3 linked regions of the Drosophila melanogaster genome follow. The gene in region 2 interacts genetically with the main gene of each other region. Each region holds a gene or a part of one and is shown on either strand. Other genes may lie near its edges.

Evidence for each region. A genetic interaction does not mean that the proteins touch.
Region 1: of ct (region 2) and peb, changing one suppresses a phenotype caused by changing the other (phenotypic suppression), as found in Drosophila melanogaster (one study listed by BioGRID).
Region 3: of ct (region 2) and Topors, changing one suppresses a phenotype caused by changing the other (phenotypic suppression), as found in Drosophila melanogaster (one study listed by BioGRID).

What each region holds. Positions count from the first base shown.
Region 1 is NC_004354.4:4,614,850-4,622,435, forward strand, and holds the start of peb (pebbled), read left to right. Parts: upstream 1-2,714; 5' UTR 2,715-3,214; intron 3,215-5,120; exon of another isoform or gene 5,121-5,125; 5' UTR 5,126-5,144; coding exon 5,145-6,011; intron 6,012-6,302; coding exon 6,303-7,586.
Region 2 is NC_004354.4:7,605,620-7,613,162, forward strand, and holds the start of ct (cut), read left to right. Parts: upstream 1-3,528; 5' UTR 3,529-3,796; coding exon 3,797-3,919; intron 3,920-7,543. UniProt on the Drosophila melanogaster protein: Regulator of cell fate decisions in multiple lineages. Specifically, functions as a determination factor that specifies sensory organ identity in precursor cells. Probably also involved in cell type specification of Malpighian tubules.
Region 3 is NT_033778.4:18,969,995-18,979,634, reverse strand, and holds Topors (topoisomerase I-interacting protein), read right to left. Parts: upstream 7,024-9,640; 5' UTR 6,697-7,023; exon of another isoform or gene 6,638-6,696; 5' UTR 6,309-6,637; coding exon 5,913-6,308; intron 5,853-5,912; coding exon 5,392-5,852; intron 5,325-5,391; coding exon 3,910-5,324; intron 3,743-3,909; coding exon 2,898-3,742; 3' UTR 2,373-2,897; downstream 1-2,372. Other genes in the region: CG18605 (uncharacterized protein), read right to left, coding at 485-1,619, 1,695-1,807; CG15107 (uncharacterized protein), read left to right, coding at 7,202-7,390, 7,449-7,806, 7,860-8,044; prod (proliferation disrupter), read left to right, coding at 8,627-8,839, 8,907-9,501, 9,568-9,640. UniProt on the Drosophila melanogaster protein: Functions as a ubiquitin-protein E3 ligase. Negatively regulates the transcriptional repressor hairy/hry by promoting its ubiquitination and subsequent degradation. Also directs the nuclear organization of the gypsy chromatin insulator.

The DNA of each region.
Region 1 (7,586 bases), 3.0 Mb from region 2:
ACTGTTTTCTGTGGGCGGAATTGGGTGGCGGCGGGTGCCCAGTCACCTTGACATATCACTGGTGACAACAGTAACAACAATAAAAACAATAACAAATTCGCTGGCAAACGAGTGCGAATTAAAACGATTAATGGCGCTGGCTTTGCTTTTGCAAATAATAATCCCAAAACGAAAGCGAATTTCAGGCATTGCAGCCCGGTTACACTGAGCAAATTTTAAGCTGCAAACTACAAGGCAGGTAAGACAATTCAAAATATGATCAATTTATTGCCGGGCTTCAACAAGAATCATCTAGTTTTTGTAAAATTGTTTCGGCAGAATGTCGTTACTTTTCTCGCTCTGTAAAATATACCCACAACCAAGTTACTAAGTGATAAAGAGCGCAATATTATGTGGAGCAGTGTTGTGAAGGGTGTGTGAGGTGGGGGGGGGGGGGGGGAGGTGGAGTTTTCAATGTTGAAGAGCAGCGCGTGGGATTTTCAGTTGGCAGCATTGTTTGCTATTTGTTTTATGCTAAGCTAAATGCTAACTAAATGTTGGCAATTAAATGTTAATGTTGCCCCTTTCTGCCGCTGCTTCTTCTTCTGCGTCGACTGCTACTATTTGCAACGCCAACACTTTCCGTCTCCATTGAAAACGGAAAAATTGAAAAAAAGGGAAATTGATACAGAAACTGAAAACGAAACCGAAACTGAAACACTTTGGTTTGGTTTCTCAGCTGTTTGCATATGGCAAAAATGCAATGCATATCATATCTGGCTGGCTTTTAATGTATATTTAACACGCATTGCCATTACCATCATTATATTGTTGTAATTGTGCTTGGCGTTGGCTGTCATTGTTGTTGCTGTTGTTACTGTGCTTATTGTATTTCTTGTATTTATTGTATTTATTGTGCCACCCACGCGCATGCGCAACCAACTCAAAAAGACAGTGACGCAAGCGACTAAGTTTTCCAATCGCTTTCGATGGAAATTTGCATTCTTTTCGACACTGAATTCCGAAAATAAGATAATTATATATTAATAATATTAAGATCTCTGAAAAATTTGTATGATTACAACATAATTTTGTCACTTTTGAGTGAGCTATAGTTTTTAATCGCTGAACCACTGTGCGAATTTTTCAAGTTCATTATAAACAAAACGTAAATATTATTAAATTGTGTACAAACAGCGCGTTGCACGTGTCGCTGTGCCTTCTAGTGTGTGTGTATGTGTGTGTGTGCGTAGGGGCGCGTGTTTGTGTCTGTGTGTGTGAGTGGGCGAGTGTATTGAACTCTTGCTGCATTTTTTGCACAATTTCGCCGCCTTTTTTTCTGCTTTTGCTTGCGTTGTATTATTGTGCTCATTTATTTTTATTTTTACCTCTGTTGTTACAATTGTTTTGCATTATTTTTCTTTGAGTGGAGAATCGATCGAATGCATCGATTTTTGGATGAGATGCTGAAGGGTTGCTGGTCACCTAATTTACATACATACATATGTACATTCTTTCGGCAGCTGACACTATTTAAAATTGACCTCTCGACGGTACCTAAACACCTATGAGTATCGAAGAGCATGGAAAAAGAGCCTTTATATTTGGAGAACGCTATCCCCAAAGAATCGCAGAACTACGGGCAGCTACATGACATTTCTTTCGGTGCATTAATGTTAATTTCAATGCTGCTTGATTGCTGTATGACGCACCCTGAAAAGGTGAAAGGTGAAAAGAGGGACCGAAAAGAGACTCGATCGTCTCCGACTTCCGTTCTGGGCACAGCTAGAGGTTAAGGTTGAGAAACTGGCCAGGAAGTATCCGCTCGGGGGTTAATGGATACGGATACACGGATGGGGATGTTCACAGCTATGGATGAGCACATATGTATGTACATACATACATACATACATACATACATACATATGTATGGGCATATGTACACGAAGATCTGGATGTGCTCATCGCTAGATGAAGTGCGACAGAAAGGGCAACAAACATGGCCAGCGTGGCCAATGGCAACGGGATTTGCCCAAAAATCCAAAATGCATCCAGACATATGCATATGTGTATGTGGGTGCTACATACAGTGATCACTCGTATAGAAGGCAGAAAAAGTTGACAATTGGAGATTTGGTAGTCTGGCACATTTCTATCCTACATCCGTTGATTTTGTTTCATTTTTTAACAAGATTTCAGACTCATTTCCCGAAGTATTTATTTTGCCGATATTAATACTTTTTTCTAGTTATTGAAAAAAATGGTGACTTTGGTTTAAAGTCCTAGGTCAAACTGAAGTATTCCATAAATATTAAAAGAAGGAAATACTACACAAATAATGCATCTTCGATTAGATATACTTCTTCTACGCTCAGATCTAGTATCGTGCATCCCATTTCCAGTTGTCAAGTGTCCACTGTAATTTCCAATTCCAATGAAAGATGAGTACGGCCCTCTCGCTCTTCCACACACACACACACGCACCCAATGTGTAATCCTATTTGCGCCAAATAAAGAAAAAGAAGAAGACAAATTTGAAACGAAGAATGAGAAGGAAAGAAAATCCAAGCTGCGCTGCCTCCGTTGAAAAAAAAATGAGAAAAACCAGACTGCTTCTCTCTTCTCTCTTTTCTCTTTTCATTTCAAATTTTACGCTCTCGCTCTCGCGGACAGCGACGCCGCCGGCGGCAGCGCAGCGCAGCCGTTGTATTTATAAATACAACTTTATAAATACAACATCAGTCGATTTTCATCTGCCGAATCGGTTGCGCTGCGGCTGCGCTGAGAATAAGATACAAAACTCGTGCGCGGCGCTTCAAGAAACCAACTCAAAAGCAGACAAATCAAATAACTAACTTGTAGAAAATAAAAATATAATAAAACATAAACAGAATTTCTCAATTCTAAGCCTACAAAGAAATATCAAACGCAAACTGCATATTTTTTTCACGTTTTTTTTTTAAACGACAAACCATTGGGAATTTTTGGAATACTAAGCTTTAAGGCCAAAGAAGTGTGAAAAATATTAAGTGAACCAAAAAATAAGTGCTATCTGAATTAAGTTATCTGACAAGAATTAAAAAAAAAACCTACACACTAAACATAAAACACAAAACACCAAAAAGCCACCAAAAATCATTTTTCAACGGGAACCAAGCCTAAAACAGTGCGAAATCCGGAGTTGGAATGCCGTCGCAACTGTTGAACACAATTTCACAACTAAATATCCACTAAGGTAATTTTTTAACAGTGATTGTTTTGGATTTTTTTTTATGTTGTTTCTGTGATTTGTGCGTGAACAATTTGTTGTTGCTTTGGATAAATAATCGAGCGCAGAAAACATGGATTATCAAAAGGATGAAATTGGAAAAGTTATTGGGTCTTCAGCTAAGCTAACATTTTTGTGTTAAATTGTTAAGAACAAAAATTGTTGAATTTAAAATTAGCACAACCGTTTTAAAATAAAATTTAAAAGCTTAGTTTTCAAACACATTTGAAATGCAATTTTTAAATGCAATTGAAGTGCAGCAGTGTTTTAAAATCGACTTAGATATTAGAAATATTATTTAAAAAAGATGAAGTAATGAAAATATATATGCCAGTTTAATTCTTCCGTAAATCGTTAAAATAATTTAATGATCCAAATTCATTATATTCCGATTAAATCAAAAGGAAAATGTTTATATAAAATTATTTTCCTACGATCACAATGTTTGAAAACATTTCAATTCAAGTCCATTCCCAAAACCCCTCCCTTGGTGTTTTGGGTCAAGTTCTGCCTGCAATTAGCCGGGTCAAAAAATTACCCATGACCGATGCTAAAACCCTTGAACTTTGACACACCACGCACACACAGACAGTCCAGTCCGAAAAGCCAGAAATTTCCGTGGTCAGGGATGATGAGGCGACGTTTATAGGGTTTAATTCAGATTGATGATCTGTTTAATATCGCAGGGGTTGTGCTCCATGTCAAACGGTTCACTTCACTCGGCTTGATTCCGTTAGATGGCGATTAGAAATTTGTTTTTTCACTGACCAAGTTGTGTTCATTGATAATTCCCAAGGGTCATAAAGGTGTGAAAACCGCCCAACAATTCCCCGCCCCAAAAAGTATATATTCGGGAGGGAATCTTTATCTCAATGACTTTTCATGACTCATGGACAACGAAATTGAAATCAGCCAACCAAAATGAAAGGCCAAACCGAAAGCCAATGGACAACAAACAACTAACACACATTTACCGAAAAAATTATATGTGTATATGACTGGATGTATGCATGTGTGTATGTATATATAGCGAACAGTGGGCTCGTTATCGGTAGAAATTTTTGATCAGCCTCTGAGGTTTCAGAGTTTCTTTATTTTTGTTGCCTTTCGGGGGGAAGTTAGGATTTTCAAATCGATCCACTACCACCCAAAGAAACAACAACAACGACAACAACTGGGACACCGCTCATAGTCATAGCCTTGATAACGGTAAATGCTAATGAGTGTACCCACATTTTTCACCCACACACCGAAATTCTTGATAAGAGCAGCATTGCCAGATGTGTATTGAATTCAATTCTTCGCACCTTTCTGCGGATGCACTTGCAACAGTCGCCAATTCTTCTTATTCGCTCTTCACAGGAACTCGATTTCAAATAGCTTTTCCGCTTCTGTTTTTTCATCTTTCCGTTGCATTGTTTACTTGCCTGAATCAGCTGTTTACGTTACTCAAGATTTAGTTTAGTATTACGCGACAATCGAAGACTGGAGAATGCAGGGTGCCCCACTATCGATTTTCTGTTATTAATTGAACCCTACACCCAGTTTACAGAATGGAACGCTGTCAGTGTGGATATCATTTGTTTACGCGTGATTTCTTTCCATCTTCAGACTTTCATAAAGCTAGTAATTACATTTTTGAATCAGCGAGTGTTGCAAAACTTTGGTGGGGTTGGACAAAAAGTAATAAAAATACTTGCGATTATAAGTGTTTAGTATATTTGATACACTTCTTTTGTCTTCGAGTTATCTAATTAGTGTCAACACTTGTTCAAGTGCTTCGATTTTTCGATAGAGTTCTTATTACACGTGCTTTATCTATACCCATCTCTAAAAGTCCTTTCTTCTTTTTCTCTCGAATCTTCTAAATCAGCACAGTTAACTAGCCGTTGGAAAAATGCTCGCCGCACAGCAACAGCACAACAACAGCACAGTGGAATCGGAAATGGAGCGCCAGCGACGGGACTCCACCACATCGGAGTCCTCGCTGGAGCATCTGGATCTGGGACGTACGCCCAAAAAACTGGGCGGTAACAGTGGCTCTACACAGACCACATCCACGCCACATGAGCTGGCTACGGTGACATCTTCGCGCAAGCGCAAAATTCGCCATTTGCAATTGAATCACCATCAGCAGCAGCAGCATCACCAGCAGTCGGATCTGCTGAGTGATGAAGACGTGGCGGAGGCGGAGGCGGAGGAGGATGAGGACGAGGAGGATGGCGACCAGGTGGCCGCCTTGGGCTCAAGGAATCTGGGACGGCACAAGCAGCGTCGCAGTGGTGGCGCCACCACACAGGCATCCATTGTGATGGACTACAGCAGTGGCGATGCCAGTTCGCTGCGCAAGAAATTTCGTCTGAATCGCTCGGCGGCCAGTCTCTCGGAATCGGGATTCGTGGACGCCAGCAGCACCACTGGCCACAGTGGCTATCTGGGTAACAGTAGCAGCGCTACGAACACTACTGCGACCAGTGGTATTGGTGCTAGCGCAGTGGCTCCATCTCCAGTCGGCGGAGCAGCGATCAACGCAGCATCCAGCAGCAGCGGCAGCAGCAGTGGCGGATCCGGTGGCTCCTCGCCCCAGGGACAGTGCCTCTCCAGCGGTGAATCAGGCATCGGAGCCGGCGACGAGCATATGAAATACCTTTGCCCAATCTGTGAGGTGGTCTCAGCCACGCCGCACGAGTTCACCAACCACATCCGGTGCCACAATTACGCCAATGGCGATACGGAGAACTTCACCTGCCGCATTTGCTCCAAGGTGAGTCATTGTGGTCACTCAAATTGTGTGCACCCTTTGTTTTTCATTAGATTAGATATAGATTTAAGGAATATCGAAAGAAGCGTTCAAATCTCAAACGAAGACTTTCAATATTGCTTTGAAAGCAAGTTAGTTTCGAGTAGTTGAGATGAACTACTGCTTTAAATTGATGAATAGACAGATGTGCTAGGACTTAGAAGAGCTAGCCGTAGGTTATTAACCCCTGATCGCCTGATTACTCACTCACCTGTTCTTCGTTTCTCCCACCATCCAAATTGAAACTATAAACAGGTGCTATCCTCGGCTTCATCCCTGGACAGACACGTGCTGGTTCACACGGGCGAGCGTCCCTTTAACTGCCGCTACTGCCACCTGACGTTCACCACCAATGGCAACATGCACCGTCACATGCGCACCCACAAACAGCATCAAGTTGCGCAGTCGCAGTCGCAGTCGCAGCAGCAGCAGTCGCTGCAGCAGCAGCAACAGTCGCAGCAGCAGCGCCGTCAGCAGCAGCAACATCAGCCGTCGCAGCAGCAGCAGAATCCCGCCCAGCAGCAATTGATGGGCAACACGTTATCCGCCCGAGCGGAGAGCTACGAAAGCGATGCCAGCTGCTCCACGGACGTGTCCAGTGGACATAGTCACAGTCGCAGCAGCAGTTCCCTTAACAACAACAACAACAACTCGCACAAGGCTAACAACAATCTAAAGGACTTGGAGGAGCTGGAGGTTTCGACTGAGGATCAGGATACGGAGAACAAGCAGCGTCGACTGAAGACCACCATCAACAACAACATCATCGAGAGTGAGCAGCAGGAGGATATGGATGATGAGGAGGCCGACGATGCGGATGTGGCCATGCTGACCAGCACTCCCGATGTCGCCACTCTTTTGGCCGGAGCCAGTGCATCTGGCGCCGCCTCGCGTTCCCCTACCCCATCGCCATCCGCCTCACCTGCCTTGCTCCTAAGTTGTCCCGCCTGCGGAGCCTCCGATTTCGAGACCCTGCCCGCTCTCTGCGTCCATTTGGATGCAATGCACTCAGACATACCAGCCAAGTGTCGGGACTGCGAGGTGATCTTTGCCACCCATCGTCAGTTGCAGTCGCACTGTTGTCGCTTACCCAACGCTCTGGCCGGTGGCTTACCGCCGCTTCTCGGAGCCAGCAGTTCGCCATTGCACAACGAGGAGCCGGAGGATGAGGAGCACGGTGACGATGAGGATCTCGAGCAGAAGGAGAGGTTAGCGAGTCAAAGCGAGGACTTTTTCCATCAGTTGTATCTGAAGCACAAGACAGCAAATGGATGCGGAGCCATCTCGCATCCGCCATCGCCCATCAAACATGAGCCGGCGGACACCAAGGATCTGGCCGATATCCAGAGCATCCTGAACATGACCAGCTCCAGTTCCAGTTTTCTGCGCAACTTTGAGCAGTCCGTGAACACGCCCAATTCGAGTCAGTACAGCCTGGACGGTCGGGATCAGGAGGAGGAGGCACAGGACGCGTTCACCTCGGAGTTCCGTCGCATGAAGCTGCGCGGCGAGTTTCCCTGCAAGCTGTGCACGGCCGTT
Region 2 (7,543 bases):
AAATTTTGTTTATCTTAAAATTTTATTATTTAAGTTTCTTTACAAACTTCATAATTCCTTGTTGATGTTTTTAAGTTTTGGGGAGAGCAACAGATATTGGATGCCCCTCGCAGGTAGCTGCGACGTCGACGTCGACGGCAGCAGAGCCGCACACAGTCGCACACGTGTGACATACATGAGTATGTGTGTTGTCCATTGACGTTGTCGTCGTCTGCTTTTCTGTATTTCTGCTTTTCTTTTTGCTCGCCAATCAAATGGGGCGGGGCTTAAATCGTTTGCTTCGCTTTTTTCTTCTTTTTTTGTCAGTCTCTTGCCCTCTGCTACTGCCGCTGCCTCAGTCGGCGTCTCTGCCACGGCTTTTCTTCTTCGACTTTTTATGTGACACTTGGCTATGTGTGTGCGATTTGGTTTTTATTATGCGAATTATCGAAAATCGAGAGCGCTTGTCTATATGAGTGCTTTTTGGGGCTTGAGCTAGTTTTAGTTTTTTTAAATTCTTATTTAATATGTTTGATTCAATTATTTTTAATAAAAAAACATTAATTGTCATTAAATTATAAAACTTGTTTGTTAAAAAAAAACCGGTTAAACCAAAAATCTATCCATTAATATAAGAACTATTCTTACTACCGGAAACTGAGTCAACATCTTGCATCCTCTTCAATGAAAATGAATTTTTATTAAATGTCCTGGAAATTTACAGTATGTTTAGCAAATCCAAACAATAATAGATATTTATAAAGCAAATCAAGAACATAAATAGCTTAAAAACATAAAACATAACATAGAACAGGTAAGGTAATCAACTTTTAATAAGTTGGATGTCTTGATGGAAGTTCGAAAGTATTTCGAAAACGAGTTCGAACCCCTTGCATTTTCGACTCAAAGACAGGAGAGCGAGTGAGTGAATATCTTGTGAGTATTTGGATTGAGTGGTTTCTTGAATTCCGCCGTTTTTAATCCAGTTGGAATTCTGCTGGTTGGCGGACACTTGTTTCTATATGGGCGATTTGTAGGGGTCTTCAATGCACTTATAATTTGTAATATTGCATAGTATGTATGTATATTTTAATATTTCTCGTCTTGTCATTTTTAAGAACGAATCTTTCTTTGTACTTCATTACTTTTACGAATTTCATCAGTCATTTTTTTTCATGATAATTATAACATGCAGTGATAATTTTTTTAAATTTGTAAGAACCATATATTGAATACTTGTATATTGCATTTTTGTATATAATGGCATAATGTATGTATTAACGAAATTATATAAAAATCCCTTATTGGTTTCCCCAATAATGTGTGGCTAAATTCCCTCACCTTTGTGGGTGGGTTGGCAGTTGGGGGTAAACTAGGAGCAATAAAATGAAATGAGTATTTTTTTCGGGGTGAGTACATTTTTCGACGCCGACGGCGGAACCGAGCATCGTTTTTTGTCTTCGTGTAGTTGGCGCTGCCCTTTCTCTCGGCTCTCCCGTTATTTTCGTTATTTTGCAAGCCGACGACGAAGTCCCCGAGCAGATCCAAGCCCCCAATATTCCCCGTACACCCCATTTACCAACAATTTTCCACCCAAATCCTAACCGCTTTTCAACCGATTTTCCTCTCAGACTGCAGCAACGCATCTGCGACTGCGACTTGGGTTCTCAGTCTCAGTTTAGGTGTAAGCCATAACCCCTTGGAAAATCCCAACCACATCGCCCCTCCCCGCCCAGCAGAAATCATGGGGTTTAGTAGAAAAATAGGGAGTGAGAATACCAAGGGGGTCGGGGGCGTCTGCATTGCACTTGGCGCTTCGATACAATTTGAACTTTTCTTTATGCGAAAATCCCGCAACGGGACTGCAAATTCCAGGGGTTTGCGGAAAAACACAAAATAACGGGAGGCTGAGAAGGGGCTTACTCTCCAATTTAATATTCCATGGATTTTTGAAGAGCCGAACAGAGACAGCCAGCCAAGGGACTTAAGTTAGGAATGCAATTTAAGGTGCATCATAAAGTGGCGGAAATTTGGAAAGGACAGATTGTTTCTAAATGTTACATTTACCTCTAAAAAAAAACATAAAAATTAAATTAAACAACAAAACATAGAATTGTTTGTTGCATTTAGCTTAATTTACACTTCGTATTTACTTTTTTATTTCCATCACTTTCTACTATTGTTTACTATGTTCGAACATTTGATGAATATAGCAGCTGCTTTTAATTCTAAGACTTATCTCGTGGAACTTTTAGTTCTTTAGTTCTTAACTTTAAAACTTATCAGTTTCAGAATAATACTTGAATTCCAGGTAAATCCCCCTAAAGCCAAAAAATATTACAACTTTCCGAAATATCCTCAATCTCAATCCCTCCGCCAGCGTCACAGTCGACGTTGCACTCAATCCTGCGCTCAATAAGCAACAACAACAAGCAGTAGTGGAGAGAGGCGAGCGCCTGGCTCTTTCGTTTCCAATAAGAAAAGCGATGTGCGAGCGGGAGGGCACTAGCCAAAGTGTCTGTGAATGAATGAATTTCAATACATGCAACTGACATGCGACGGCGCAGAAAAATGCTCAAAAATAAGAGTAAAAAAAAAAGCCGAGAAGGAAAGCGCAAAAAAAGTGAGAAAATCAAAAAGCTATTGAAAGAAATCAAAAGCAGTGCACGGGAATTGAGTGAGATTCTCTTGCGCGGAGCGTGAGAGAGCGAGCGAGAGAGTTGCGCTGCATGAGTGTGTTGTGTGTTTGTGGCGCCTCTGTCGCTGCCAACGCCGCTGTCGGCGCTCTCTGCGGCAGAGGGTTGTCGGCGCTTCGTTAACGTTCGATTTGTTCAGTCATCAACAGCATTCGTGACTGGCAACGTCGTTTCGTTCGTCCGTCGCCGAAAGAAATCGAGAATTTCAGAAGATTTTTGGATTCTACTGCCCCACAAGGCAGTGCAGCTTCTTCTTCTTAGCCGCGGCGCGGGTGTGTGTGCGTGTGTGCCCCTCTCTCTCACTGTGTGTGTACGTCGTGTGTGTGTGTGTGCAGAAGAATCCCCCCACCCACTTCATACAAAAAATTCATAAAAAAATAATTGCAAAAGAATGAATCTCGCTTGCCAAGAAGAAGAAACGTATTGATCATATTTATAAACAAAACAGCACACAGCCAAACAAATCAAAAAGGACTAAACGAACGTATAATATAACTGTTTATTATTTTTTTCAAGTGCATTTTTGTTCGCTAAAATATGTGCGCGTGTATGAGTGTCAAGTGTAAACAACAACAGCAACATCAAAAGCAACAACAGCGACAGCAAACATGTGCAAAATAAGCCACAGCCAAAAAGCAACAACATAATGATAATGGCTTGAAAAAATCACACACACAACAACAACAGGCAACAACCAAAACAACAACATCATACCCTCACCATTCAACAAACGACTACAACAAAATCCCCCACACAACAACAAGAAGAAACCCCCTTCCAAAAAAATCAAAAAAAATTCTTTTTCGGAACTAAAGTGAACAAAATATAAAACATAACATAACCATAATAATAATAATAATAACACACAGAAATTGGCTTATTTATGCATTTTTTTGAGCACGTAACAAGAAACATACTACTTAAGGTGTAAATGTGATGACTAAAAACGAAAACCGAATTAAATAACAACTAACTAACAAGTAAAATCGAAACGACAACAGAACAGAATAATGCCAGGCCTTATTAGCCCCAAATTGGTAGAATCCAAAAACTGAAAACCCCAAAAAAACCTAAGCAAAAACTGACTGAGAATTATTGAATTAACCCAAGAAAGCCCACGAATGCAGCCAACATTGCCACAAGCCGCTGGGACAGCCGATATGGATCTGACGGCTGTTCAATCAATCAACGATTGGTTTTTCAAAAAGGAGCAAATTTATTTATTGGCACAGTTTTGGCAACAGGTAAGAAAAGTTAGCAAAACGATGGAAAACGGTGCTTAAAAGCAAGAAGTTTCGTGTTTCAAGAATAATAATATGAATATAGTTCAATGAATTGGCCAAACAAGCTGAGATTACGGGTTCGTAAAATGTTCGGTGCAAAAGTGTTTTATCTTCTGTTCTCACTTTTATTCGCATTGACAAACAGTCTTACGTTTATATTACATGCAAGGTGTATCTTATTTTTGTCAACAAAAAGATGAAATTACACCTGTTATATGTAGCATAAAATTTGATACTTGCGTTTTCTAACTTTATATGAATGAAATGAATTCGATTCATACAGTATTGTGTATTCAAAGTGAAAAGTTTAGGGAGCGTAACGCGAAAAGCCCGAAAGCCTTTAAAACGTTATAAGCTAAAATTAGAACTTTCCATACATTGATTAGACTAAAAAGTCATATACAAATTTGCAATTATCATTGTAACTAAACAGTGAATAGTTCCCGAGTTCTGTGATATTCGTTGCATTTCACTGGAAACTCCCACAGCTGACAACAATAACCCTAGTGCGCCCAGCCGCCCACTTTAACCCCACACAGCCCCCATATTTTGGCCCCGCAAACTGCTTAACTTAACTTAAGTTAACTAATTGAGTTTGCGTGTCTATGGCAAATGTGTTTTTATTGTTGCTGGCCCGTTATTGTTGTCTAATTTCTTGTTGTAAATTTATTTATTTTTTCTGCTATTATTGATTTCTGAAAAAAAATTTGTTTGCACAAAACAAAAACAACAAATGCAAAGTGCAACAAGCAAGTAATAAGTGAACAGTTTATTGCTTGAATAACTTTTTTTTTTTTTGAAGCGTTTTTTTTTCTGTTTTCTACTACCAGTGAACCGAAAAAGATAAAGCCAGACAAGATCGGCCAGACGGAAGAGACAATTCAGATGGGGGTTTCGCTGTAAAAGGGGGCGTGGAAAATCGGGAGGCGGGGGCCAGACGATGCTGAGAATTTCGCTGGCCAAATGCCAGACTCCGAACAAATAAGGCGGCAAAATAACATTAGAGGCCAAAAAGGGGAAAAGAAAATCATCTGCCAGACCAGACATGGAAATATCAACTGCTGTATATATTTTTGAATATTTCTATATATAAAAATACTCTCTATATGGTTTGGCAAGTTAATTAGGTTGCGTCGACAGCCGGGCAAATTTTTTAATTGGAGTTTCTTCTTCGATTGATCGTGAAAAGCGAGAGACGCGCACAGTGAAAGACAGACATGGAAAAATTCCCGGAAAATCTAGACATTTGCCGTCGGTGAATGGCGTTTTTTCCCGCTCCACAAATATTTTTGTACAAGATATGGCGATGCAAACTGCAATCAATAAAACTTAAATAAGCAAAACCAAAAGCTATCCTATCGACTTTTTCCGGAGAACCACAACAAAGGCAAAAAGATGAGAAGCCGCAGAACTCGTTAGGATTACTTGAAGTCAGTGGTGTACACAGGATTTTATGAATGGGGCTTTGCTGATCTCAAATAGAACCGGTTTTTATTTAATTAAATGCATTTGCTTGTTATATTTAAATGTTAGATATGTACATAGTGATAGAGCATAGTGTTGGCGGCCTAAACGAAAACACAAAACCCCATCTAAAGGCGCCACTGTTTTGGGTTCTTTTTTCCTCTTTCCTAACGATCATTTAATGGCTTTCAAAAGCTTCAAGTCTTCTATAACTTTCAAGATCCCTCAACCAATGATCGATTGTGATCAATGAATCAATATTTGAAAGGTTTCGTCATGCCTTCGCATGCTGATCAACAAAACAAAATTAGAACTCGATCCATAAATACCATTTCTCTGCGGCAGAAAAAAAGGTTATTCAACATAACTAAATTTGCCAACCAAAAATAGAAGCTTATTAAATAAATTAAACAAACCGCAGACAGACGTCTACAGCTGTCCAAATGAGTTGATAAAACAATTTTTATAGTATTTCACTTATTTATTTATTTACATTTCAAGAACAGAGCGCGCGCGAAAAAATTGACACAAATCGAATTCGAAAAAGCAACAATAAAAATGTGCTTGATTAACACAAAGTTTTGTCATTAAATATATAGAACGGTGGCACCGAAAAAACGATCACAAAAAATTGAAAAAAAAAACAAGTGCAAGAACAAAAAGCAGAAGCCAAAGAAGAACCAAAAGTTAAAAAGAGCAAAATTAATTTCCGTAATGCAATCTATAAACTTGACCCATTAACATCGAACAGATTTTTTGTTTAGCTTCTACAATTACCGAAATCCGAAAAACCATAAACCGAAAACTAGATGAAAGATGAGGTTTTTGTCATTGATTTGTGCTGATTCAAACTAGAAAAAAAAAAGATGGAAATGGAAAGACAACAAAACCGAACTAATTGCCAAATGCATTTGCTGACTTAAAAAATATTAAAAAAAAAAAAATAGAAAAGTTGAATTGAAAAGATGAGAGTAAATCGAGTTTGGGTTCCGTTTTAATCGAATTGAAACCGGTTTATAGGGTAGTCACCACCACCATAGCACCATCACAGATGCAGATACGGATATAAAATACGAAATGCGGAATACCGGGGACGAGCATTGATAGTTTATAAAGTTTAATTTTCAAAGATGGCGTCCCGGCATTTGCATATGCCGAAAATGAGCAGCCAAGGGTTGTCCCTTAAGCCCTTGGAAGCACACGGATACCTTGTACACATATACGATATCATACCATGCTATACCAAACCATAGATACCATATTGCCAGATACAGTATACAGATAGAGATCAGATCGGTGGACTGAGCGGCGGCGTGTGTCGTATAATTTTTAGCGTTTTAAGTGCAATTTACTCGCTCTCTGGCAGAGAAGCCAGCTAATGAGTCACAGAAACCGAAACGTGGATGAATGGGGGGGGGGGGGTGTTTGAAAAAGGGGTTATACCAAGAATCACAGACCGAATTCAACCACCCACACAGCACACAGATGCATACATATGTATGTAGACACACACGCATGGTATATGAAAATATTTCAGTCAGTTCAATCGTTCGATCGCTGGAAAGATATGTTAATATAATTAAATTAATTTGTCAGCACGGAAATTAAAACAGAAGCGGCATCGGCAGCAGCAGCAGCAAAAACAGAAACCGAAATGTCCATCACATCCACATCGGTACACATACATAGTATCTATAACAAAATGCGACGAACGAATCGAAACGATACTATACTATACCATACTATACTATACTATACGAACCGAACGAAACGAAACGAGACGAATCGAAATGAAAATCGAACAATTAAAAGCTTGTGGTGGGTGGGTGGAGATGGCGATCTGAACCCGAGAACTCGAACTCGATCTGAACTACCACGCAACTAATAATGTGAAATAAAAAATCATTTGGAAATTATTATTAAAAATTGAGTTCATGAACTATGTGTGTCCGTCCCGTCCGTCTATGCCAACATATGTGTATCTGTATCTGTGTGTGCTCGATCAATTTTTATTATGATTATTTGCTATTTCCCTCTCTTTCCGGTTTATGGCATTAATTATGAATAGCCATTGAAGCTAATTGAAGCCGGTCGAATGGAGTGTCCTCATGTAACTTGGGA
Region 3 (9,640 bases), on a different chromosome or scaffold from region 2:
CAATTTTCTGGACCTGAATTTGCTACCACAAGCAGCTGGGGCACCTCCAGGCCCATTCCTCCAGCGGAAACCCTAAATCGGCCGCATTTTTCACTCAACATTTTTGCTTTTTTGCTTTTTTTTTATCTTAGCTCCCTCGTTTATGCGCAAAAGTGCGTGTAATTCAATTTTTCATGCGCCATGTGACAGGGGGATGTGGAAGTTGGGAAGGTGTGTGGGGTTTGCAGCTACCTTTTCTGCCGAAATTAAGACAAAGGGAAATATGCGCTAAAGGCATATTTGGCACGCAATTTTACATGGCGTGTCCTTATTGATGGGCCATCCTTTTTTCCCGTTATCGTTATCAATTTTTAATGCCCTTTAAAACCCTTTTTTTATTGCTGTCTGTGCTGCGAGAGGCCATTGACAAAGACCTCGGCGCACTCGATTGTATTATACATGAGTTGAAAATGTTGCAACAGGATATTGTAATTAGGGATCCCTTCTAGCGTTGGTTTTGCGTGCGGCGGCGGCGTCCCTGATGTGCGGACGCATTTCGCGGATTATTCGGCACGGGTGGTGCTGGTGGTGGATTCATGACACCAGAGCCGGATCCATTCCCGTTGGAAGGGCGCGCTGCACGGTTAGTGTTGGCAAAGCGGAAAACTTGTCCGTATGGCAGGATGAAATCGCCTCCTTGATCAGCGTTTGAGGCTCCTACGAACATGCTGCGCTCGATGGCGAACCCGAGCTCCAGATCCTCCAGAGGCGTAGCCAAGGCGGCGGTCGATGAGGCATGCTGAGGTCCTGATTGCTGTCCCGACTGCTGGGGTTGGTGAACCGCTCGTTGCTGAGTCTGGATCACCGCCTGCGTTAGCTGAGGGAGGAGCAGCTGGGCAGGCTGAGCTGCTGCCTGCTGGACCTGAGCCTGTGGCTGTGCCTGGACCTGGGCCTGAGCCTGGGCCTGAGCCAGAGCCTGGGCCTGAGTCTGAGCCTGAGTCTGGGCCTGGGCCTGAGCCTGTGCCTGGACCTGAGCCTGTGCCTGGGCCTGAGCCTGGGCCTGGGATTGAGTTTGTTGATTCACCTGACCCTGGTTAGGTGCATTAGCTTGTGAGCTCGGTATGATTCGGGCTGTCACCAGCTGTCCGTCCATCTTCATCAAGAACGGAGCACCACCATAGCGCTCCATCATCATATCGTCGAGCTCGCCGAAATCCTCATCCTCCAGCTCCAGATCCGCCTCAAAGCCACCGCAATCGTCGTAGTTGATGCGGCGCGTAAATTCTACAAAGCTGTGCAGTCTCGTCGACAAAAACTCGCGATCCCTGGACTTCGCCGACGTAGTAGGACCATTATCAAAATCCAACAAGGCCCGGTACTGTGTGCTGCACTCATAGGCCATTAGAGTGTCGTACGGGGAACGGGCAAAGTTGATCAGTTCGTGGATGAAAAGGTCCGTATTGGCGCCAAAAAAGTGGATCATGGGCTTTCGGAACTCCTCGCTGTCCAGCTTAAGACGTGGAAGCAGATTCTTGATGGTCTCGTACAGATAGAAAATATCCGCCTTCCTGGTCCTGATCAGCACCGATACATCGCGGTTCACCCACATCATTACCCTATGAACCTCGAAGGGATTGAGACTACAAGGAAATGCAGAAATGAGAACATGGCTGAAATTTCCCTTATTTGTATTGGAGGAGGAAATTTTCACTCACCGGAAATATTCGGGGGACCAGCCGCGAAAGTCGCCCGTTTCACGATCCGGCAGAGAATATAGCGAATTGGCGTAGACATATATGCGCCATTGGACCATGTGCCGTGGCATCATTGTTGCTGCACTCCACGTGTCGACAATGTCGAAATTGTTCGAAGAAAAAACAGAAACAGAAACTTTACACGTGAACGAAAATTCCTGGAATTGTCAATCACAAATTCGATTTAATACTGATTTCACTGCTCACTGTCGCTCGCGAAATGGAACTTTTCCAGCTGTGCAATATGATACAGTATTTACCTTATAGGAATTAAACAATTAGCTCGTTCTTTAAACAATTCCAATTGAAACTCAGCGAAAAAGTTTTGCTTATTGCGCAGGCACAACGGCTCTGTGGCACGTTTTTATTTGGGGCGCATCTACACGATGCCTAATGTCAAGTGTGGAAAGTAAGGGACTGTTTAGACAATGCCATAAATTAACCTGCAAATCGTGACAAATCGGGACATCGGAAATCGAATATACTCTGAAATCACTGGAAACATTGAATTGAAACAAAATATGCATAAATTTAACAAAAAAAAAAATGCGCAAGGTGCCTATGCCGGGGGGCATCCTTGATCCAATGAGAATTACTTTTAGAACTTTACGAAATATGAAATGACACTTATTTATCTTTAATTTAATCTTTACATTTATTATGTATTTGATTCGTATTACAGATATCTTTTGTTCATTGTATGTTGAGTACACTAAAATTCATAACTGGCCACGCCCACTTATGCAAAAAACATTAACACCCTCCTCATACATTGATCAGCGCTAATTCTACGATTTAAAAGCTACGATAGTAAAGTTAGTTGCCATTGTTTATAGTTAGTTAGTTATAGATGCCGCTAACCTACGTGAATACATTTACAATCGATGTTCTTCAGGGGGATATTGAATGCGTCTTTTGATGTGGAAGGGGGGGGGTGGTATATGTATGTATGACAGAACATTTAAATAATGTTGGGATGGGTGTTTATATATGTATGTACAACTTAAAATGGCAATCTTAGGCCTACAATACATGAGTTACAATTACAAATATTATTTTATGGGGTTTGGGGATTTCAGGAATCGGAACAAGACAAGACGGAAACCAGTTAAACATTCCCTTACACTAGCAACTTAAATGAAAATCTAAATCAGTGGCTTATGCTTAATACGGCAGTAGTCCCTGATTCTCATCGTTTTCATCGTGGTTGTCGCTATCATCGTCGTCCTCCTCCTCTTCCTCTTCTTCCTCCGCAGCTTTTTCCTCTTCCTGGTCGTCTTCCTCTTGATCTTCATCCTCTTCGTCCTCCTCATCTTGTTCTTCGGTGGCAGTGGCTGTATCCTCGGCGATTTGCAACTCTGATTCGCCAACTACATCGATTGCGGCCTCCAGCGAATAGGCATCCCGTTCACGGCTGGCCTCCGGATCCGCATCTGTATCGAAATAGTTCTCTAGATTGGCGTCATCCGCCGCCAAAGTTTGTGGGCTGTCGCACAACGTGTTGCTCAGCATGCCCATGGAATTCTCTGCCGAATTATAATGCTCGTTGAAGAGTCCGATGTTCACAGGCTGCGTTAGAGTGGACAGTTCGATTAGGGAGTTGGCTATGTCGTGCTCTTCCATCGCCGGATGTCCGCGCATCAGCGGATCGCCGGAAAAGCCCGCTGCTCCCCAGGCAAACGAACTTAATGGAGCCGAGCTCGAGGTGGCTGTCGAACTGCTGGCCAAACTGGCACTCTGGCTGGACTGATTGCTGTGGCTGCAACTGCGTCGCCGTTTCGGTGCACTGCAACCCGGTTCGTTATCCTCTCTCGGCGATGGAGTCATCCGTGAGTGGAGGGGCCCCGCCTGGTCGTCATCCGGCAACTGAAGCTCCAGTTTTACAGGTTTCCTATCCTCCAGAGTTGCCTCCGCTTTTAGTGTGGCGCGCAAGGCACTGAGCTGCATGTTTACAGCGCTATCATCATCGGAATCGCTGCTGGATTTGTTGTTGTTCGTGTTGGGTTGACCTAGAAAACAAATTTGTGTAATTATACAAGTTTGATCTGATAGGATAATAAATAGTTTTTTGATTGTTTTTAGAGATCATTCTAGTGTTTTCCTGTTCAGAATGTGTGGTGTTATACATACATTCATACATGCTGATAAGAACCGTCTAGATTCACAAACCACTTACCGGATGACTCGCTGCTATCGCCACCTGACTCGTCATCGGACGAACTTGGACTGTCACTGCTGCTTTCCGGTTGGCGCTGGGGCTTCTTTTGGCTTATCTGCTGCTGCTCAAGCATTTCCATATTCTGGTCTTTGGCCTTCCGTTTACGAGATGTCCTTTTCCCGATTGACTCCTTTTTAGAGCGCTTATTATTCGCCACTCGCTTGCGTGACTTTTTCTTGGGTGGCTCGGAGTTGGTGGTACTACTGTCACTGCTATCCTCATCGCTGCTGCTGCTGAAGTGAAAGGAGGAGCTGCTGCAGCTGCTGGGGCTGCTGCCACTGTCACTGCGGGCAGGCATGGATGAACGGCGTGATTTCTTCGAACGTATAGAGCGCAGCGTGCGCAACTGATCGAGGCGCCGTGTCTGCGCCATGACCAGCTTCCAGTTCTTGCCTCTGTTGGCCGCTGCGCCACTTGTGCTGGGCCCCATAAACAGGCCCTGATCCCTGGAGGCCAGATCCAAAGGGGATTGTGTCGACCGGTTTTCGGCAATTGCGTCCGGCGCAGCTTCGTGCTGCTCATTTACGAACACCACATCGGAGTCACTATTTGAGTCAAGGCTCACCTGTTCGGGAGTGCGCATGTGTGGTGGCTTCAGCTCCAGCACAAAGACGCACTCATCCTCATCGCCGGAACTGCTGCTGCTCTCCAGTTCGATGTGCGCCGTCACTGGAAGAGTAGCACCTGCGTGTCTCCTACTGGTGTTGCTGCCATCATTGATGGCCGCCACCTCTGCATTTGCGGCCGCATCGCCGTCGTCGATCTCGATGACCTCTGGTTCCTCGCTGGCAACCGCCGCTGGGCGCCTCATGCTCAGGTTAATGGCAACCGTTTGTGAGCCCACATTGGTTGTACGGCGTATGGAAATCCCCGGCAGCTCACTGCCATCACTGGCCATTGTCACGCTGAAGGAATGTGTGGCACCAGGATTGGTCACAATCACACTGGTCGACGGGCGTACCCTAGGGGGGCTCCAATCCGGAGAGAAGCCAGCGTTTATAGCATCCGCATCGCTATCTCCGACCTCCAAATTCAGATCATCACCGTTCGAGGATTGTGTCTCCACCATGTCCAACAGATCCACCTCCACCTCCTCAGCCACTCGTGCCGAATACTGCACCACATGATCGTAACCGTTTATGTCATACGGGGAGCGGGCAAAGTTAAACAGTTCGTGGATAAAGTGACTGGTGCGCTCGCCGAGATACGGCGACAGCCGTCGACGGAATGTAGGACCTAGTAAGCTAGTCATGGGCAGGAGGTCGCTCATCAGAGTCATCACAGTATTTACGCTATGTGCGGCATTCCTCAGTAGGCACATGATGTCGCGATGGATCCAAGGCATCAGGCGATGAATCTGAGCAGGATTGTTTCTATAAGCAAGGATTTGAAATCGAAATCAGTATGGTTAAGTATGCGGTTTTAGGTATACGAACAGACCTGTAAAAACGGGCGCTCCACTCTCGAAAGTGTCCAGTCACGCTGTCGCTGACGGGCAGAGCATACAGCTTTCTATCGTACACATAACGTCGCCAGAGCTGGCTCAATGAACCCGACGTGGATGCATCCTGATCGTGCTGGTAGTAATTCATCAGCTCCGAGCGATACGGCTCAAAGCGGCTGTACGATCGCCTGCCAGCTGCTACTTCTGCCGCCGAAAGCACATCTTCACCAGCAGCTCCTGCCGCTATGGCCGCCTCGATGTCGTTGACAATGACGGCCTGGTTCTGCACCAGCGGCGTGTACCTGGGACGCCTCACAATGTGGTAACGTAGGGAGGGATTTTCTGTTGGAACCGGCGACGTAGTCTGCACCGGGTAGCGATCGTAGTCGTCCAGGGTGCGGACATTGTGTATGATGGTTCTGAAGGGCTGCTTACACAGTGGACACTCGGGCTTTATCTGCAATCGAGAATAATTAGATGGTTAAAATAATGGTTTACTCGCCTGCGGACTGGTTACCTTGCTCCACTCGCACAGGCACTTGAAGCAGAACTGGTGCATGCACGAGTCCGTGAAGCACTTCCTCCTGCAGCGGGACAAGCAGATGGCGCAATTGGGCGGCGGCGAGTTGCGCTCTACTGTTCCGTTCTCCTCCGCGGCGGATGCACTGGTGCCCGGCTCACCGATGGCGTTGGCATTATCCGGGCCAGCGGATACAGGTTCCTCGGCCTCGTTGTCTCCCGACTCACTGCCGCTCTCGGTGAGATCAGCAAACTTAATGGCCGCAGCCGGTAGCGTCCGGCCTCCGGCATTGGATCCTTCCAAACCAGGCTCCACAATCACCGATGCGCCCAACTCATCCACTCCCAAATAGGGCACGTTGGCGGCAAGAGCTCCGGGATTCTCCTCCGCCATTCTGGCGACTATATAGCGGCTATATGGGCTGTAAAATCGGCCGTAAGATGGGCGAGAACTCGGGCCTGAAGTTTTGTGTCTACTCTGTCCTCCTCTCTCTCTCACTCTGCTCCTCTCGCCCTCTCTCGCTCGCACTCGCTGGCTGGCACGCTACTCTATCATCTGGTTCGCAATTCGGTTCTCAATCCTCGTTTTCCAGCGGCCTTTTCCGGGCTAGGGGACGCATTATCCGTATTCTCTTGCGGTCTATGTGGTGGTCAGTGGCCTGTTCTGTAAAATAGCACAATTTTCGGGCCAGAAATCGCACTATATCTCAGTTAATTTTACACCTGAAAATGCAGGAAACTTGATTTTTTTGACCACTACGGTGATACCGTTCGTCGCGTACAGTTAAATGCTGCAGACCACGGAGATTGATATACTTTTGAATTACTTCAGAATACAAATTTTAAATAAAAAAGGTTTGGAAAATATGTTGAGTCAGCGGTTCTACTAGCTGTTCTACCCTCTGATTGAACTTGATTGAAAAAGCAGGACTAGCTTTGTTACAAAAATTACGAAATACACAAAAAATGCTTAAAGAACTAGACCAATTTATTTTATAAATTGAAATGTGATATTTTGAGAAAAATAAATATTTTTAGATGTATTACACAATCTTGTGAGATTGTGGCGCGGGTAAATTACAAATTCCAAGAAACTTCTTTTCGAACCTAGGAGAACCAAACAATTATTTTGATATTTTCTAAAATAGTTTGGTATTTCGGTTTTGGTATTTAATTTCGGAGCCTTAATTGTTTGTGTTATCGATAGCTCGTTGCTTTATTGCCTTTTTGTGGCGTCTGTTTCAATTTGTTTGTTTTCAATTGTTGGTCATAATTTGGATCCCCAAAATGAATCGACGCAACAAGCGGACGTCGTACTACCAATACGAAGTATACCTAGACTTCATGGAGGAGAATCCCCCGATGTCGGCCAACAAACTGAGTCGCACCCAGGACGGCAAGAAGTGGAAGGAGCTCAGCGATCTGCTAAACAAGTGCTCCACGGGTCCCACTTTGTCGCCCGAGGAATGGCGAAAGGTATGTTGTAACCAGTTGGGTATCGAGTGTACAAGCCCACAGTGTGTCATGCTTATAGCGCCTCAACGACTGGAAGAACAGCACGCGCTCCAAATACCGACGCAGCATCAACTCGGATGACAAGAGCAATGCAATGACTCCTCTGGAGAACAGAGCCCTGCAGATCTTCTCCTTAGAACCGAATTTTCGCGAGGGAATTTCGATGCGCCTGCACGAACTGATGGAGGAGCAAGAGGAACTGGATGAAGAAGAGAATGAGAACCTGGAGGAGTTGGTGGATGAGGAGGAGGAGGAGGAGGTGCAGTACCAGCAGTTCATAGCAGAGCCTCACGAGCAAGCCAACCCAACGATCATCAATGGTCACAGTGCCGCGAAAAAGCTAAGGCTCGATGGTTCCAGTGAGATTATCTACGAAGGTGGGTAGACGCAAATCTAATGTAAATACTAAATATCCTATAAAGGGACATAGCCTTGATTTCAGTCGCGGATGTCACATCTGATCAATCTGCCGCGAAAGAACCGTCTGCCTTCTATGGAGAGAAAATCCAGGAGCAGCTGAAACGCATTTCGGACATACACGAGGCATCGCTGCACTTTAAGATAGCCCGCTTCAAGTACAATAATCCCGGATTCGAGTACGTTCCGGAATTATAGCCCATGCTAGCCATGCACATTGATATAATGTATAATGTAATATAATATGTGAGCTCAGAGGGACCTGCTGATTTCGCCTCGAATTAAAAGCCGCGGAACGCTCAATAAGTAGTACAGTAGGCATTCGTTGAAAACAAATTCTTGAGTAGTGTGTACCATATACCAATTAGTCGTTTTTAAGACTGTTGTTATGCATATCGTTCGACGAAATACTTTTTGCACATATATTTTGAAATGTATTATTGATTTATATGAAACCGCTAATAAATATTGTGACAAATCATTTCTGAATCCGCATGTTTTTATTGCAACAAAATTGAATTATTTATTGCACATCTAGCCATAACTATCGCATGGCATCTAATTGCTTTTTTGGCTTCCCGCCAGATGCGCACCACTGGCGTGCCGAATGCAACCCTGCGCCAACAGCAACAAAATGCAACTAGAAAATCCCAAACGCTAAATGCGTAAATTGTTTGTGAACATCTCGCATCGCTTGGTGGCGTCGATTTGCATTTTAGGGCTTTTGCCAGCTATTTAAACACGGCATCGAGCACGCAGGCACAGAGCAAGGATACCCGGATGAACGGCAAGATGGACCGCCGCAAGAAACGCACCTCATCGGAGCAGTACCAAATGTACATCGACATGATGGAGAGCGACCCCATTTTCGCCACCGGACGAGTGCCGCGCGACTATGACCTGAACTACTTGACCAAAAAGTGGAAGGAGCTCTCCGACCGGCTAAACAAGTGCAGCTCCGGACCCACACTGACGCCGGAGGAGTGGCGCAAGGTACGAGTACCACTACATCACCCAAATAATGTTACCTCTAATCGCGAATTTCCTGCTCCACATACAGCGCCTAAACGATTGGAAGAACACCACTCGCTGCAAGTACAGACGCAGCCTTCTGTCCACGGAAAAGGACATCTCGATGACCTCCGTGGAGACGCGCGCTCTCGATCTCTTTGGCAAGGTGCCCACCACCGGCGGCGAAACGATGCTCAATCTGAAGTCCGAAAAGGATGAGCACGACGACGAGATGGAGGAACTGGGCCAGCGTACTTCGGTGGCATTTCAAAAGGAACTTCAGGCAGCCGTTGAAGAGGCAATCAACGATGAGGTGGACGAGGAGGAGATGGTGGAGGAGCATGTCGATCACGAGGACATGATGGAGGAGAATCTGGCGGAGACCGGCATCACCGCGTCCACAACGGCGGTCAATACGGGTGGCGGCACCTATCGCACCATCGTCGTGGACAACACATCCTTCGAGCATGTCGAGGAGGATCCCCAAACGGTGCAGCCGCACGCCGTCGAGTACGTCACATCCCGCAGGCCTGCTGCCCCCGTCATCAATCCGGGCACAGCCTCCTCCGGCAATAAGCTGATCAACGGCGAGCTGCCCGTCAAGCGGATGCGCACACAGCCCAGGGAGCAAATTATCTACGAAGGTAACTATGCCGTTTTACTTTGCTTAAGTTTAAGCAGTTAACATCACGTTTTTCCATATCTTTCAGTTAAAAATGCGCCGCGTTGCATTTCAAACATGCAGGCCGTGCCGCCGCTGCACAGTACAAAGCTGGAGCGGGA